Tamandua tetradactyla: one gene and its partner. The protein of the gene in region 2 binds, or shares a complex with, the protein of the main gene of each other region. Links are inferred from orthologs where the notes say so. Each region holds a gene or a part of one and is shown on either strand. Other genes may lie near its edges.

What was found. Proteins that work in one complex are often made in the same cells at the same time.
Region 1: the proteins of NUDT21 (region 2) and CPSF7 are in contact, whole or in part, in a crystal structure (PDB 3N9U), measured with the Homo sapiens proteins. The link is inferred for Tamandua tetradactyla from reciprocal best matches to the Homo sapiens genes NUDT21 and CPSF7. Residues at the interface, in NP_008937.1 of Homo sapiens: Arg68, Asn152, Glu154, Pro156, Tyr158, Tyr160, Pro162, Ala163, His164, Ile165, Thr166, Lys167; in NP_001129512.1 of Homo sapiens: Trp91, Trp92, Thr93, Thr94, Asp95, Gln96, Glu112, Lys114, Phe115, Glu117, Asn118, Arg119, Ala120, Asn121, Gly122, Gln123, Ser124.

Annotation. Positions count from the first base shown.
Region 1 is NC_135335.1:13,709,761-13,716,851, forward strand, and holds the start of CPSF7 (cleavage and polyadenylation specificity factor subunit 7), read left to right. Parts: upstream 1-4,067; 5' UTR 4,068-4,187; exon of another isoform or gene 4,188-4,260; intron 4,261-4,388; exon of another isoform or gene 4,389-4,493; intron 4,494-4,845; 5' UTR 4,846-4,900; coding exon 4,901-4,954; intron 4,955-7,091. Other genes in the region: SDHAF2 (succinate dehydrogenase assembly factor 2, mitochondrial), read right to left, coding at 2,776-2,885, 2,967-3,190, 3,928-3,963.
Region 2 is NC_135342.1:50,146,588-50,153,565, forward strand, and holds the start of NUDT21 (cleavage and polyadenylation specificity factor subunit 5), read right to left. Parts: upstream 3,012-6,978; 5' UTR 2,834-3,011; coding exon 2,718-2,833; intron 1-2,717. Other genes in the region: prolyl 3-hydroxylase OGFOD1, read left to right, coding at 3,216-3,369, 4,645-4,790. UniProt on the Homo sapiens protein: Component of the cleavage factor Im (CFIm) complex that functions as an activator of the pre-mRNA 3'-end cleavage and polyadenylation processing required for the maturation of pre-mRNA into functional mRNAs.

The sequences.
Region 1 (7,091 bases), on a different chromosome or scaffold from region 2:
AATCAGTGACTATGAGACTGGGTGTGATGAAAGGAATAACTACAAAGGGGTACAAGGGAACTTTTGAGGTGAAGGTATCATTTTATTCCTTGACTTTGTTGGTAGTTGTTCAACTATAAGCATTTGCCAGATAACTGTATAGTAAAAAAAGGTGAATATCAAGATGTAATGGCGAGGCTGGAGGGAACTGCCTGAAAATGTAGAGCTGTGTTCCAGTAGCCATGTTTCTTGATGATTGTATAATGATACAGCTTTCATAATGTGACTGCGTGATTATGAAAACCTTGTGTCTGATGCTCCTTTTATCTACCTTGTCAACAGATGAGTAGAACATAAATGGAATAAAAATAAGTAACAGGAGGAACAAATGTTAAATTTAGTTTGAAATGCTAGTGATCAATGAAAGGGAGGGGTAAGGGGTATGGTATATATGAATTTTTTTCTGTTCTCTTTTTATTTCTTTTTCTGTTGTCTTTTTATTTCTTTTTCTGAATTGATGCAAATATTCTAAGAAATGATCATGATGATGAATATGCAACTATGTGATGATGTGAATTACTGATTATATATGTAGAATGGAATGATCATATGTTAAGAATGTTTGTGTTTCTTTTTTGTCATTTTTAAAAAAAATTTAAAAATTAATAAAAAATTTTTTTAAAAAGGTGGCTACTACTGTATGTAAATTACACCTCAATAAACTTGACGATAAAATGTAATATAAATATATATGTAGAACGGAATGATCAAAAGTTAGAATGTTTATGTTTGTTTTTTGGTATTAAAAAAATAAAAATAAAAAAATAACATATTCATACAAAAAAAAAGTAATATAAATATATAAATTCCTGGGCTATCGGGAAGGGGTAATGGATGCTGTCAGTCCCAAAGAGTCAAATCTTTACATCATAACCAGAAAGGTTGTCTGCTATTAACTGATTCCCTTTCTGTGGTGCCTTGAAGAACATGCAATACCTCTTCTAGTATGAGGAGTACTGTTATGATTTTCTAGACACTCTTGACAAATGGAAGGAAAGTGATTTCTTCTCATACTTAGCCAACTGTGTCCAGAAAGACAAAGTTTCAACTGTGACCCGAGCCTGATCATACAGCACAACTAATATACTCGAATTTTATGACAGTCCTCCAGAAGCCCTACTTTTCAGGAAACTATTGCCTAGAAGAGTTAAAAACACCTAATGTGCTAGCTATCCTACCAACCAACACTTTCCATTTCTTTATAGCATTCAGGTTCCTTTGTATAGGGAAACAGCCCTTCCCAAAGCATATAGACCTGGTAAGAAGGTAAATCCACATGACTGTATTTGTGTTACCTAAGCTGCAAGGTCCCTGCAAGCATCTTTCTCTAGATCCTTCTGCTTACTGCAGTGGAAGGGCTAAGAGGAAAACATATGCCTTAAACTCAACCAAATGGACTTTCTCTTCAGGGAGTTTTATCTCGGGCTGAATCATCTCATCAACTAGACCTTCTCCACAATCTTTCTAAGGAAGCTAGGGGATTATGTGAAACAAAATCCTCTTCCTACATGATTCCATATTACAGTCTGCCAACGAGAAGCAGTCATGTGAGATTTGCAAGGTGAAAGAGGTCAGGCCAATGCTCTCTGGACAGAGGTATAGACAGATAAGTGGACTGACATGAGGTTAAAGCACCTTCTGGGTAGGTCTTTGAAACCCACTTATTTTGTTCCTGCAGTCAAAGTTCCAAAATACAGGCACTTGAGATTTACAGCAACTTCTGGACCAACTCTTAAGAACTACCCACTGTTGCTGCAGGCTGAGATGGTCAATAATTATTGGTAGACCATCACTCTTCCAGACTTCCAATTGTTGTAAAAGCCTGAATTACCACTTTTCATGCTTGGAACCTGTAAATTGGCTTCTGTTTCCTGATACAAATATGAGTGGAGACATAAAAACGTGAGACCGAAGGAGCATGGCAGAAACGAATGAGCTATTATATCCATCATCCCCTTTTTCCTTGATAAGAGAACCTTCAATTTAGCTAAGCACATGGCCCCAGAATACCATATTATTTTTCCTTTATGGCTGGTGTAGCTTATGGAAAATGAGTGGAAATACAATGTACAACTTTCTGAGAAGTATCTACAAAGAAGGGGATATGCTGTTCTTTACTCTTTTCTCTTGGCTGTAATATGGACATAACTGGCAGAGCTTTAGTAGCCATCTGGAATCGTGAGGTAAAGGACACATGCTGAGGATGGAAGAACAGCAACTCAAAAGAAACCTGGACCACAAGACTTTTGGAAGCCCCTCTATGAGTTTTGGACTTCTATTATGAGAAAGCAAAATATAATTCTTTCCATCCTGTTTAGGCCACTATTGGTTTTTACTCATAACCAAAACTAATCCTAAACATGCACAACTAGAATTCATTCCCAGCAAAGGCAGTGCTAGGGGGGAAACTACTGAGGAATTCTTGCTCTGCAGAAATAGAGTTATCTAGATCCAGTCCATACCCAGCCTAGTTTTTCCTTAGCCTTCCCTTTGATGCTGTGAGTTTTCCATATACCCTTTCACCAAATTACTTTTTTGCATAAGTTAGACAGAATGAGTTTCTGCAACTTGCAAACAAGGAACCCTTGAAACTTACAAACTTTGGGAAAATTTTAAGAGTGTCTGGGATGTGTGTCCACTGCCACGAAAAAAAAAAAAAAGCCTAGGATACAATTCTGGACTTGTATCACCCAAGTCATCCTACTTCCACTTTGTGCTGCTTGTCACGCCCAGTACCTGTGGCCCAGTAGTAAATATCCCAGTCATTACTGGGCTCATTAATCAGGCGATCATAGAGGTTCAGCTGTTTTTCTGTCATTTGGTGCAGATATTCTTTAGCAAAGAGGCTAAAATGAGAAAGAGAAAGGAGTTAAAAAAAAGCTGTCTCTGGTCAAAGAGAAATGACACCAAGACTCTAATTCCCCTACCTAAGGAGAATACAGTTTTCCAACATTCCCCTCTTTCTGCTTTCATAGAGTAGGCGGGCTCTTTTGGTTTCTATGGACTCATCAGTTCGCTCCTGCCACGGAGGCAAGGGAATTTCAATCATGTCTTTTTGAGAATCTGCTGGGCTGTCACCTCTGTAGAAGCGTCTGAATGATGTCACCCTGACCAAAGGAGACACTGGGCTGCGACCTGACAGAGCAAGCATCTGAAACAAATAAATCGTAAACATCTTTATAATAAAAACGACTACCATCACTGTCACTCACTCGATACTTACTAGGTGTTAAATGCTTTAGATGTCATTTAACAGCCAAGGAAACCAAGGCTCAAAAAGGTTAAATAACTTACTCAACTTCACCCAAACAGTAACGGAAATCTAGTCTTAACCGCAAGCATCTGTTCTTAACGGGTACCCTACAGGAGATTCTCCTAGCAGAAATATTGTCTCCTTTCTTTACATTCCCTTAAAATTACTACAATTAAGGTTTGTTTTCCAGTCTCTCGCCTGCGTTAAAAGGTGAGGATACAGAAATGACATTGTCCTAACCCCTCCCCCCTAAAGGCTCTCAATCTAGAGAGTAGCACAAAACCATCAAAACACGATCAGAAATCACAACAGATATCAGAGGCTTCAGAACAGGGAGGAATCACAAGAGGCGGTACGGCTTAATTTGCCCGGGAAGTAGGTGACACCTGCATTGGGTCCCGCACCACGACTGATCATGCAACGATATCACGGAACAGGCACAAAATGGGCTCACGAAAGGTTGGAAGCGACCCGAATCTCCTGAGCTGCAGGATCGGCCTGCCCTTGGCCTGCCCTTGCCCTCGGCTCTCCAGCAGCTGAGCCTTCCCGGCGGTCTCTATGACTGCAGCACAAGACGAGACTCAGCCAACGCTGCCTCCTGCCCGGGACCCTGGAACCTTACTATTCTCTCTCACCCGCGCCAGAGTCGGGAATACCGTGACCACTGCCATTTTCCCCGAACAGCACCAGAAGCCTTCAGCCCAGCTACTTCCGGGAATGCCCGGGTAGCAGGACCCGAGGACTTCAGCGCGAGGGTCTGAGCCGGAAGACGCGTCCCTGCGAATAGCGGAAGTGGCAATGCGTGTGACGCAGGCGGCGGTGAGGGCGGGGCCTGAGGCTGAGAGCGGTTCGCGCGCTTCGGGCCTAGTCCGGACTCGCCGCCGCCATATTCCCGGTAACGGGGGCGCGCGGCCACGGGCCGGCGGGGCCGGAAGAGGGGTCGGGGCCGGCGCTGAGGCGGGGAGGGGGTCGGTTGAGCCTGGGGCGTCAGCAGTTGGAGGGCGGAGGGAGGCGCGGGGCTTTAAGGGAGGTGGCCGAGGACGCCGGGCCCGGTCTGTGGGGAGGGAGCTGGGCGGGCCTAGCCTGGTGGGCGAGGACTCGGCCCGGATGGGGAAACGAGGCGGCTGGAGGCGGTGCGGATCCGGGCGGAGCTCCCGGTCCCGCAGGGGCTCTGGTCGGGGCCACCCCGGGGCTTAGGCAGGTTCGGCGGGCCGGGGCTGAGGGCTTCGTCGTAGTCGTCCTTCGCAGCGCAGCCGGAGGGCCCTTAGCAGCTGAGGCCTCGACTTTCCCGTCGCGCCATAGACGGCTGCGACGCAGTTCGAGCCAGGCCCGAGGGTGATGGGCAGCTCGCCCCGCGAGCCCGGTGGCCTGGGAGAGCGGGGCGGGGTGGGGGGGACGGGAGGGGGGCGGCGCGAGGCCGGGGGCGGGGCGGGAGGGGGGCGAGCCTTGGCTGCCGGGATGCTGCATCTCTAGAGACGGGAGGGTGGCAACCCTCGCCCTCCTTCCAGCTCAGGACCCTCTTTCTAACTCTTACTCTTTTCTGGATATCGCAGTGTCATCTTTTTTACTTCGTCGGTTCTCTGCACTCGAGATCTTCCTTCCGAAGCCATGTCTGAAGGGGTGGACTTGATTGATATATACGCTGACGAGGAGTTTAATCAGGTAAGGAGTTATCAGGAGCATCGTGGTATTCGTCCATCAGCTAAGGAATCACTTCCAGCAAACTTGGCAGTGGTTCCAAGCAGTGCCGGGCCTTAAGGACTTACTAAGCCTGGACACTCCCATCAAGTTTAAAGTTTTTCCTCTATCAGAGACCTCTAAAACTACCTAATACCCCGCTTTATGTTCATTTGAGCCTTTAGGCTTAATTTTAAAGAGTTTGATTTAAGAGCAAATAAAAACTCAGGTTTAATTGAATGGTGAATTAACTTGTGGAACTTGCTCCCTCAGGAATCCAAAGGTGGATGTGCTTCTCCTCAGTGACTAACCACACTTAAAAATCAGAATTGTATTTGGTGCACTGTTCATGAGGATGATTAAATAATTTTGATTTCTGTTCTTTTCCATTCTCTCACACTGCAACTGGAAAATGGTGTAGTCCCACCCCTTCGAAGGGCATAGTATAAAGCATTTCATTTCAGCTCTCCGTTGTTTTAGTAGAAAGGCATAGTATAGAGCATTTCATTTTAGCTCTTCAGTAAGTAGCTTGTCTCCTTTCTTGAGAAGTCCATAGCATTTTGGTGTAATAAATTTTATTGATGAACCTTACTGTGCCTAGGGGGAAAACGGGTGAAGGTGTTGAACTTACCAGTTGAAAAGCAGATATATACCCACTCATCTATCCAAGGGTGGGTTTGTTGGTTTCTTAACAAAGAAACCAAGGTTTCTTGGTTTGAATATTGAAAAATGTTAAATATAAGTATCTTTTCTCTTAAAGGGATACTTTTAAGTACATTTTGGTTATGAAATCTTGAGTTCAAATCTCAAGAATGTTTGTAAGTCTCTGCCTAAAGTTTACTAACACCTTGCTTGGTTTATTTTCAGCACTGGACTACTTGGGCAAACTGGTCTCTCTGTGGGCATCTTCCAGTTAGTTCACATGAGAACCTGAAAAGAAGATAATAGAATACTAGGGGGGTTAGTGCCCTGGTTGGGCGCTGACTTTGATATGAGGAAATAGGAAAGGTTGATAGGTGCCATTATTTTCACTAAGTTTGCATTTTGGGGGCGGGGTGGTGGTGGATGGATTGCTGCTTTTTTTATTATTAATAATTCCAATAATACAAACCCTATTCCAAGAATTCCAGCATACCCCCGCCCCTAGATCCTCCAATTTTAACATTTGGCCACCTTTGTCATGTCATTTTCTTTACCTATTTATGTATATTTTCTGAACATTTAAGAGCAGGTTGCATGTATCATAGTCCTTGAACATTTGGTACTTCCATGTACATTTTCTGAGGACGAGGGTGTTTGTTTATATAATCACCTTAAATGAATTTATCAAGTTCAAGAAATTTATCATTTATATCATGCTTGTATTCTATATTCCAATTCTTTTTTAAGTCCCATTAATGCCCTTTTGAGCATTTTCTCCATTTTTAGGTCCTATATAGTGTCATAATTGCATTTAAATGCCGTTACCTTTTTAGTTTTTTCATTCTTTATTTTTCTTAAATTGTGGGAACATATGTAAAACATAATCTTCCAATTCCAACCTCTTTGAAGCGTACCATTCCATGGGATTAATGATCTTCACAAAGGGCAGTACCTTCACCAACCATTACTATAACTTTGTCTTCACTACAAACACAAATCCTGCACTCATTTTACAGTATCTCCCCATTGCTTCTGTCTGACACCCCTGTTAATCTGTGTACTACTTTCTGTTTCTGTGAGTTTGCATATTCTCATACTTTCTTTGTAGTTATCAATGGGATTAAATTTAACGTCCTAAATCTGTAACAGTCTCTTTTGCGTTGATACCATCTTAACTTCAATAGCATACATAAACTATGTTCCCATACTCTTCTGTCCCCTTTTTGTAGGTCTTATCACAAACTACATTCTCATATATTATGAGTACCAAAGCTTTGATTTGTCATTACATTTTTTTTTTAACGTGGGCAGGCACCGGGAATCGAACCTGGGTCCTCGGGCATGGCAGGCAAGCACTCTTACCTGCTGAGCCACCGTGGCCCGCCCCATTTGTCATTACATTTTATGCATTTGCTTTTCAATCTTGTAGAAAGAAAAAAAGTGGATTTACAAAGATACAATAGTATTGCTGTTTATATTT
Region 2 (6,978 bases):
AAACACTAATCAAATCAGAAATTCTATTAATTATGGATGACAATGGTAAATCTGTATGCTTTTTAATAAACTGAGCCAGCACTTTGCATCAGCACCTCCCAAGTTCTTTCCTATTTCTCCCAGTCATATATCCTCAGACTTTTCTGGCACCACAATCCTTTCTCCCCAGATCAACTTTTCTAAATTCCTTTCCCCATCCTAAACCTTTTTAGCTTTAAAGTTTTCTACATTTATTCTATTTCGTATTTTTATTCTTCCCTTCTCATTTCTATCTTCTGTCTATCATATTTAATCTGAATATCCTATCTTCCTTTATCAAAAATTTAAAGTATGGCTCATAGTGTTGGATACAGTTTTCACATTGTCTAGTAAAGTTCAAATTTTACTTAAAAATAGTGGAAAATACCATTCATATTTTATCACATAATAATATGCAATACAAGCCTAAACACCTTATAATTCCTTGATTATAAGCCTTACACCAAATTTTAAGTTATGAAGAATTATTTGGCCACACTTGCTCAAGCTATCTTGATAGATAGACCTTCTATCTAAAGGTCTTGACCTTAAAGTCAACTTCTGCTTACCTAATCACTCAGTTTTTCTAGAAAGAACAAGTCATGTTGCCAAAACTAAAAAAAAAAAAAAAATTAATTCCAGAAGCCAAATTCTAGGCATAAAGAAAGCAGTTTTAAATATCAACTAAATTTTACTATTTCCAGTGTGCTTCAAGAACTTCCCCAATAGCCCAACCCTGAATAAGACTGTCATCACCGTGGGTTCAGTAACTGCTGCTATTTCATACAGCACTACGTAACAGCCAATTGTTTAAGACTATATTTTTATATATTAACATTTAGTTCTCACAACCAGAAATTAGAAAGGGTTAAGGATAGCCATAACACATCTCCATTCAAGACCCAGCTCCAGCATTAGTAAGGAGATGTCAACAAGATGAAAATTCAGAATTTTCAGCTGTGAAACCAGAATGTCAGCCCAATCACATACATACTATCCCCATCATACTGTGAGCTTCTCCTAAAGAAGGTCATCTTACTTCCTCACCACTTTACACCCAGCACCATGCAGTGTCTGGGAGAAAACAGGCATTCATGTAACATCTACCAAAAGAAATTATATGGGCAGTGGGGGATATGGGGGGCGCCTTGTTTTCAAATTAATAAATCATTACTCATCCAGGTGAACTGAGCTCATAGCAAGATGACAGTTTCTGAATGCTCTATATAGGAGAGGGAAAGTGCTGTAAATCTATCAACTCATAACCTTAATGCAGCAAAGATTAAAATATTTTAATCTTTTAAAAATTACACAACCATCTTTCCAAGCTAAAGTGTTAAAAATTCTACCATGGCTTGAAACAAATTGACTCATTCCTCAAAGAAAATGAAGGGAAACACGTGGGTCCCAGTTCTCATTATTTACTGAATACAATCCAGGGCTGTGCTTTAACATTTTTAAAAGAACATTTGTGCCTTTTCCATTATGATAATTTTTAAAAAGTGATATGAAATTTAAATGCTACATACATGTAACAGGTGCAGAGTCAATACATAATTATCGGCTAATTACAGCTACTGTTATAAACATTTCAGCTTTATTATCTTAATTTCCAAACCAGCACACACTTTCGCAAACAAAATAGCAATCATAGCCATCTTTTCAATTTCAAATTGTTTTTGGTTTTAAGGGGTGAAAGTTCATTTATTTGAATAAAAAACAATGAACACCAACATCAGTAAATCCCTTTACTTTTTAAACAGTAACCAGTATAAACTGAACACACTCTTCCATTAGGGTTAGAATCACACTGCCTTAAAAACAAAGGCTCAGAATGACGAAAATAAAAAAGCATACGATCAATTTCTTGAGCAAGACACACCCCAAATGCAAACTATCTGCCACAGCAAGATTGCTTTTGAGTGACCTTGAAACATAATGGCTTTAAGTGCTTAAACAGAAAAAGGTGTTGAAGTAAAACACAGCCCACAGTGGGTGGCTCTCTGCCAGGTCCCTATATCTTGCCTGGTCCCCTCCACTGTCTGAAAACCCCACCTCAACAGCATCGACCCTCCCAAGCTGGGCCTACTGTGTGCCTCGATGCGGTCGCTGAGGCAGAGAAGCCATGAGCAGCCGAATGAAATGAATGAAACGAAATGCGATGTATTAATAAGCTGAAATACTATACAGCAGTTAGGAAAAAAACAGACCTACGCATTATAGCTAGATCTCGAAAGCTTACCGTTGGAGAAAAGCAAAAATTGCAAAAACGATGCAACAGAGTAATGCTCATATCAAACACCCAAAACAATATAATTCACGTGCTGTGAAAACATAAGCATTGCACCGGAAGGATAAATATACCAGTTGGATATCCCTCGGGAGGAAGAGTTAAAAGCAAAGTTCGATTTTACCTATAATGTTTTATTTACCTTACCGAAGCAAAAAAAACATATAACTGAATAGAAAGGGATGAGAACGAGCCTTCTTTTTGGAAAAGCACTCTCAAATAGAGCAAGAAGGGTAGGCCTGTAGGAGCGAAGAAGGCGCGCACTCGCGAGCAGCAGTGGGGGTGGGAAGGCGTGGAGCCAGCCGACCCGCCGGGGGCGCGCCGGAAGGACACAACTGGAGTCTTTAGGGACACTCACAAAGAGGGGGATACCCGCGAAGACCGTGCGTAAAGACCAGGCCGCACTTACAGGTTGATGGTGCGCTCCAGCGTGAGGGGCTTGGTCTGCTGGATGTACTTGTTGCCGAACTGGTTGACCCCCCGGGGCCAGCCGGTCTGCGAGCGATTGGGCGGCACCACCGACATGCTGGCGAGGACGGACACTGCCTGAGAGCAGAAAGGGGGAGGAAGGGAAGACTTTCCCCGTGCAGGTAGCGATTATCTGGGTCCCCTCAGCAGCCGCCACCCGCCATTAACGTGAGAGCGCAAGAGAAGGCTTAAGCACACCGGAAGTACATCCGGAGCCTCTGGTGGCGGGAAGTAGAGAGCCCAGGCAGAGCGCCATTGGGCCAATCGCTGACGTGACGGCCGCAATATCTGGCGCTCCCATTGGCATAGCAAGAATAGGTCCCGCCTCCTTCTACGGATGGCGCTTGGGAACACGGGAAAGAGGGCGTTCTGGGATTTGTAGTCTCCGTAGGGAAGAGTCGCCTGCTGTGTGTAGAGTAGGTGTACCCACCGTGTGGAGATGAGTGGAAAACGGCCCGCGGAACTCGGCCCTGGGCGGGCGGGGAAAAAGGGAAAGAAAGAGGTGGTGGCAGAGTTTTCGGACGCCGTCATGGAGGAAGCCTTGAAGAGGCAGGTGGCTGAGGCCTGGAGCCGCAGGGCACCTTTAGTTCACGGTAATCGGGTGCTGTGAGGGAGGAGCCGCAGCGAAAGGGCCTGGAGCCGCTGAAAAGTCCAGGAACTCGAGCCGAGTCTGGGCAGCGCGGCCTCAAGGGAAGAGGCTGTTAGGGGGAGGATGACTATGGCCACCTTCTATTCTTCTGCCTCGCCTGCAGCCCCCTTTTATTCCAAAGATCGGTTTGACTTTAGACACTTCAGAAGAGAAGAAAGAAACGTAGGCCGAAAAGTAGAAGGCATGCAAATTCGTAGTTGAATTCTGGTATGAGAGTTTCCAGAGTTAAAATCCTCCCCACTGATGGCACGTAGTTGGGTAATTTATTTAACTTTTAATGCTGTTTATCTCGGAAAGTTGTCGAATGGGGTTGATGAACTACTAAATGCATGCATTTATCAATAAGTATTTCCATGATTAAGGACCAGTAAATTTTTGAATAAGTGTTTGAGAGGCGTATATATTTCCTCCAGGGTAAGCTCGTCCCATGATAATTTAACCAGGGCATTTGTTGTGAGTTGCCTGAGAGCTGGATCTGAGTTTACTCGCTTTTCCATGCCTATAGTGTGACGATATGATCTATGAGAATAAACGTGTGTTGATCAAGGGAAGGAACTACACTGAACAATACCTGCCTCAGTTCAAATGTCACGTTATAGAACAAAAAGTTCTGCTTAATGCCTCATCCTTCCCTTCTGTAGTCTGCCGTGATTTTTGTTTTAGTTGTAAAGTGCTTTAAAGTGAGTCCCGGGTGCTCTGGATGCACGTAAAATGGGATAGCTGAGTATTTAACGTGCAAGCTCTGCACACTCAGTGACATCTCTGTCTCCTGTACTTCTAGGGGCTGAGGGGTGTGGGGTTGTGTGGTCCGGGAACAAGATGGAAAAGAAATTGCCAGCCAACATTGCTACTATCATTTTTTATTTACTATTCTCACTTAAGTTTTGGGGGGAAATGAATTATGAATTTTATCTAAAATACATTCAATTCAATGGACAATCATTGAGCAAAATATTTTAAAAAGAGCAGGACCTTAGTTTTAGTGACAACACATATAATCATTAAGGAGCAATATTTTAAGCCCAGAATCTTTAAAAAGTATCATTGACTAGATAAAGAAAAAAAAGGAAAGAGCTTATAATTTCTTCCCACAAATCTTAGATTTTAGATACTAGGTTCCCCAAAAGTCATGACCATCACTTTTTTATTCTCTCTGCGATGCTTCTAGAGGCAAAAATACAAAAGGACAAAAAGCCATAGATATGTTTTCGTTCAACAGAAGCCATTGTAATGGACAAGGACCCCTTTCTTCACTGCGTGATCCCAAACTTCATCCAAAGCCAAGACTTCTTGGAAGGGCTTCAGAAGGAACTTTTGAACTTGGACTTCCATGAAAAGTATAATGATTTATATAAGTTCCAGCAGGTATTTATGCCCAGTGCATTAGCTTTCCCACCTAAGAAATTCATTATCTATAAAATCATCCTATATCTTTAGACTAGGGATTTTAGATTGGGTTTGCCTTTGAGGGTCCTCACCTTAACATTGCCAAAAACATTCCTCCATTTAATATAAACGTACTGAGTGTATAACTGTGTGATGTGCAGTTTGATAGTTCCTGCCTTGTAAGGTTAAAACTAAAATAATAGAGGTAATAGAAACAGAGATAGTCAAGAAATACATTAATCCAATAATTAAGTACATTATAAATGAAGGGGTTAAATAGCACTTGCTAGTGGTTCAGTGGTAGAATGCTTGCCTGCCATGTGGGAGACAGGGTTCGATTCCCAGCCTATATACTCCTACCCTACCAAAAAAAAAGGAGAGGGGTGGGAAGTACTATTCATGACCCTGAATCCACATGGGTATGTGGTGAATCTCTGCTCTGCTGGGAATAAATTTTTCTGTACTTGCTTTTAGACTCCATCCTAAGACAGTAAACATAAAACCTGTTTCCTTAAACCTTGCTTGAACCTCTTTTTCTTTGCTTGAGTTATGGCATGATTTGGTAATTGGGTCTATGACATCTTCCATCCCCCCTCACCAAATTTGTCATTAGGAGTTGCCCAAATTCTATATTTTTAAAAACAAGTCTTACTAAGTACCATGCTAAATGCTTTGTATTTATTAATTCATTTAATCCTCATAACAGTCCTATAAACGATATACATTACTATCCCTGTTTTATAGATGAGGAAACTCATCTATAAAACATCAGTTTTTCTTTCTCTTCTGAATCATTCACTTTAACATACAAAAAAAAGCTGTTCTCGTTTTAAAGGGAAAAAAGCTTTTGACCTAACTTTCCTCTTCTGTTAATACCCTATATTCTTTTTGCTCCCCTTGACAGTAAAGCTTCTTATAAAAGTTGCCTGTATTGTCTCCTCTCATTCTCTATTAAGCCTGCTTTAGTCAGGCTTTCACTTCTGCCAATCCATTGAAACTCCACTTGTCAAGGCCATTCAGACCCTACACATTAGCCAATTATCAGTTTCAATCCTTGTCTTACTTGACCCATCAGCTCCATTTGAGCAACTTATCACTTCTATCTCCTGAAGACACTACTTGCAGGATGCTATGTTTGGCTTTCCTTCTGCCTCATTGCCCATTCCTTCAGTTTCCTTTTGTAGGTGTTCTTCTCATATCTGACTTCTTAATGATGCAGTACTATAAAACATAGCCCTTGGGCCACAGACTCCCATGGTGTCTCATGGCTTTGCCTCTCCTCTTTAATGTCTAATAAATATCTCACACTTAAATCCAAAACTCCTGATCTTCTCCTCCTAAATCTGCCCCACCTGCTGTTTTCCCCATTTCAGTTAATGGCCACTAATCTTCCCAGTTGCTCAAGCCAAAGCCAGAATCTTTGAGGTCATCCTTGATTCCTTTTTCACATCTCTTATCCCATCTTTTAGAAAATTCTGCTGGCTCTTCCTTCAAATTATGTCCAGAAAAAAACATTTCTTATCCGATGCCAACCTAAAACATGGCCGAAGCTATCTTGGTCCCTCACTAGGATTATTCTACTAGTGTATTAACCAGTCTCCTTGCTTCTATCCTTGCCTACTACAGAGCTACAGTTGTCATCTTGTTTTGAAATGAAAACAGGCCCACGAGAATTGAAAACATGTTCACACAAAAATTTGGACAAGAATATTCATAGAAGTATTATTCATAATAGCCAAAAAGTAGAAACAACCCAAATGTTCTTCAGTTGATAAATGAGTAAATAATATGGTATATTCATGCAATGTACTATTTCTCAGCCATCAAAAGGAATGAAGTACTGATGCATTCTCTACAACATGGATGAACTTTGAAAACTTTAGCTAAGAGAAAGAAGCCAAACACAAAAAGTTACAAATAATATGATACCATTTATATGAAACACACAAAATAGACGTATCTGTGGAGAAGAAAAGTAGGTTGGTGGTCATCTAGAGTTGGGGGAATAATGAAAATATTCTTCAAGTAAATAGTGGTAATAATTGCATACATTTTGAATATACTAAAAACCACTAAATTAAAATGGCAAACTTTATGTTATATGAATTTTATCTCAGTTAATATAAATGGATCACTTCATTTCTCTGCTCAGAAACTCCAATGGCTT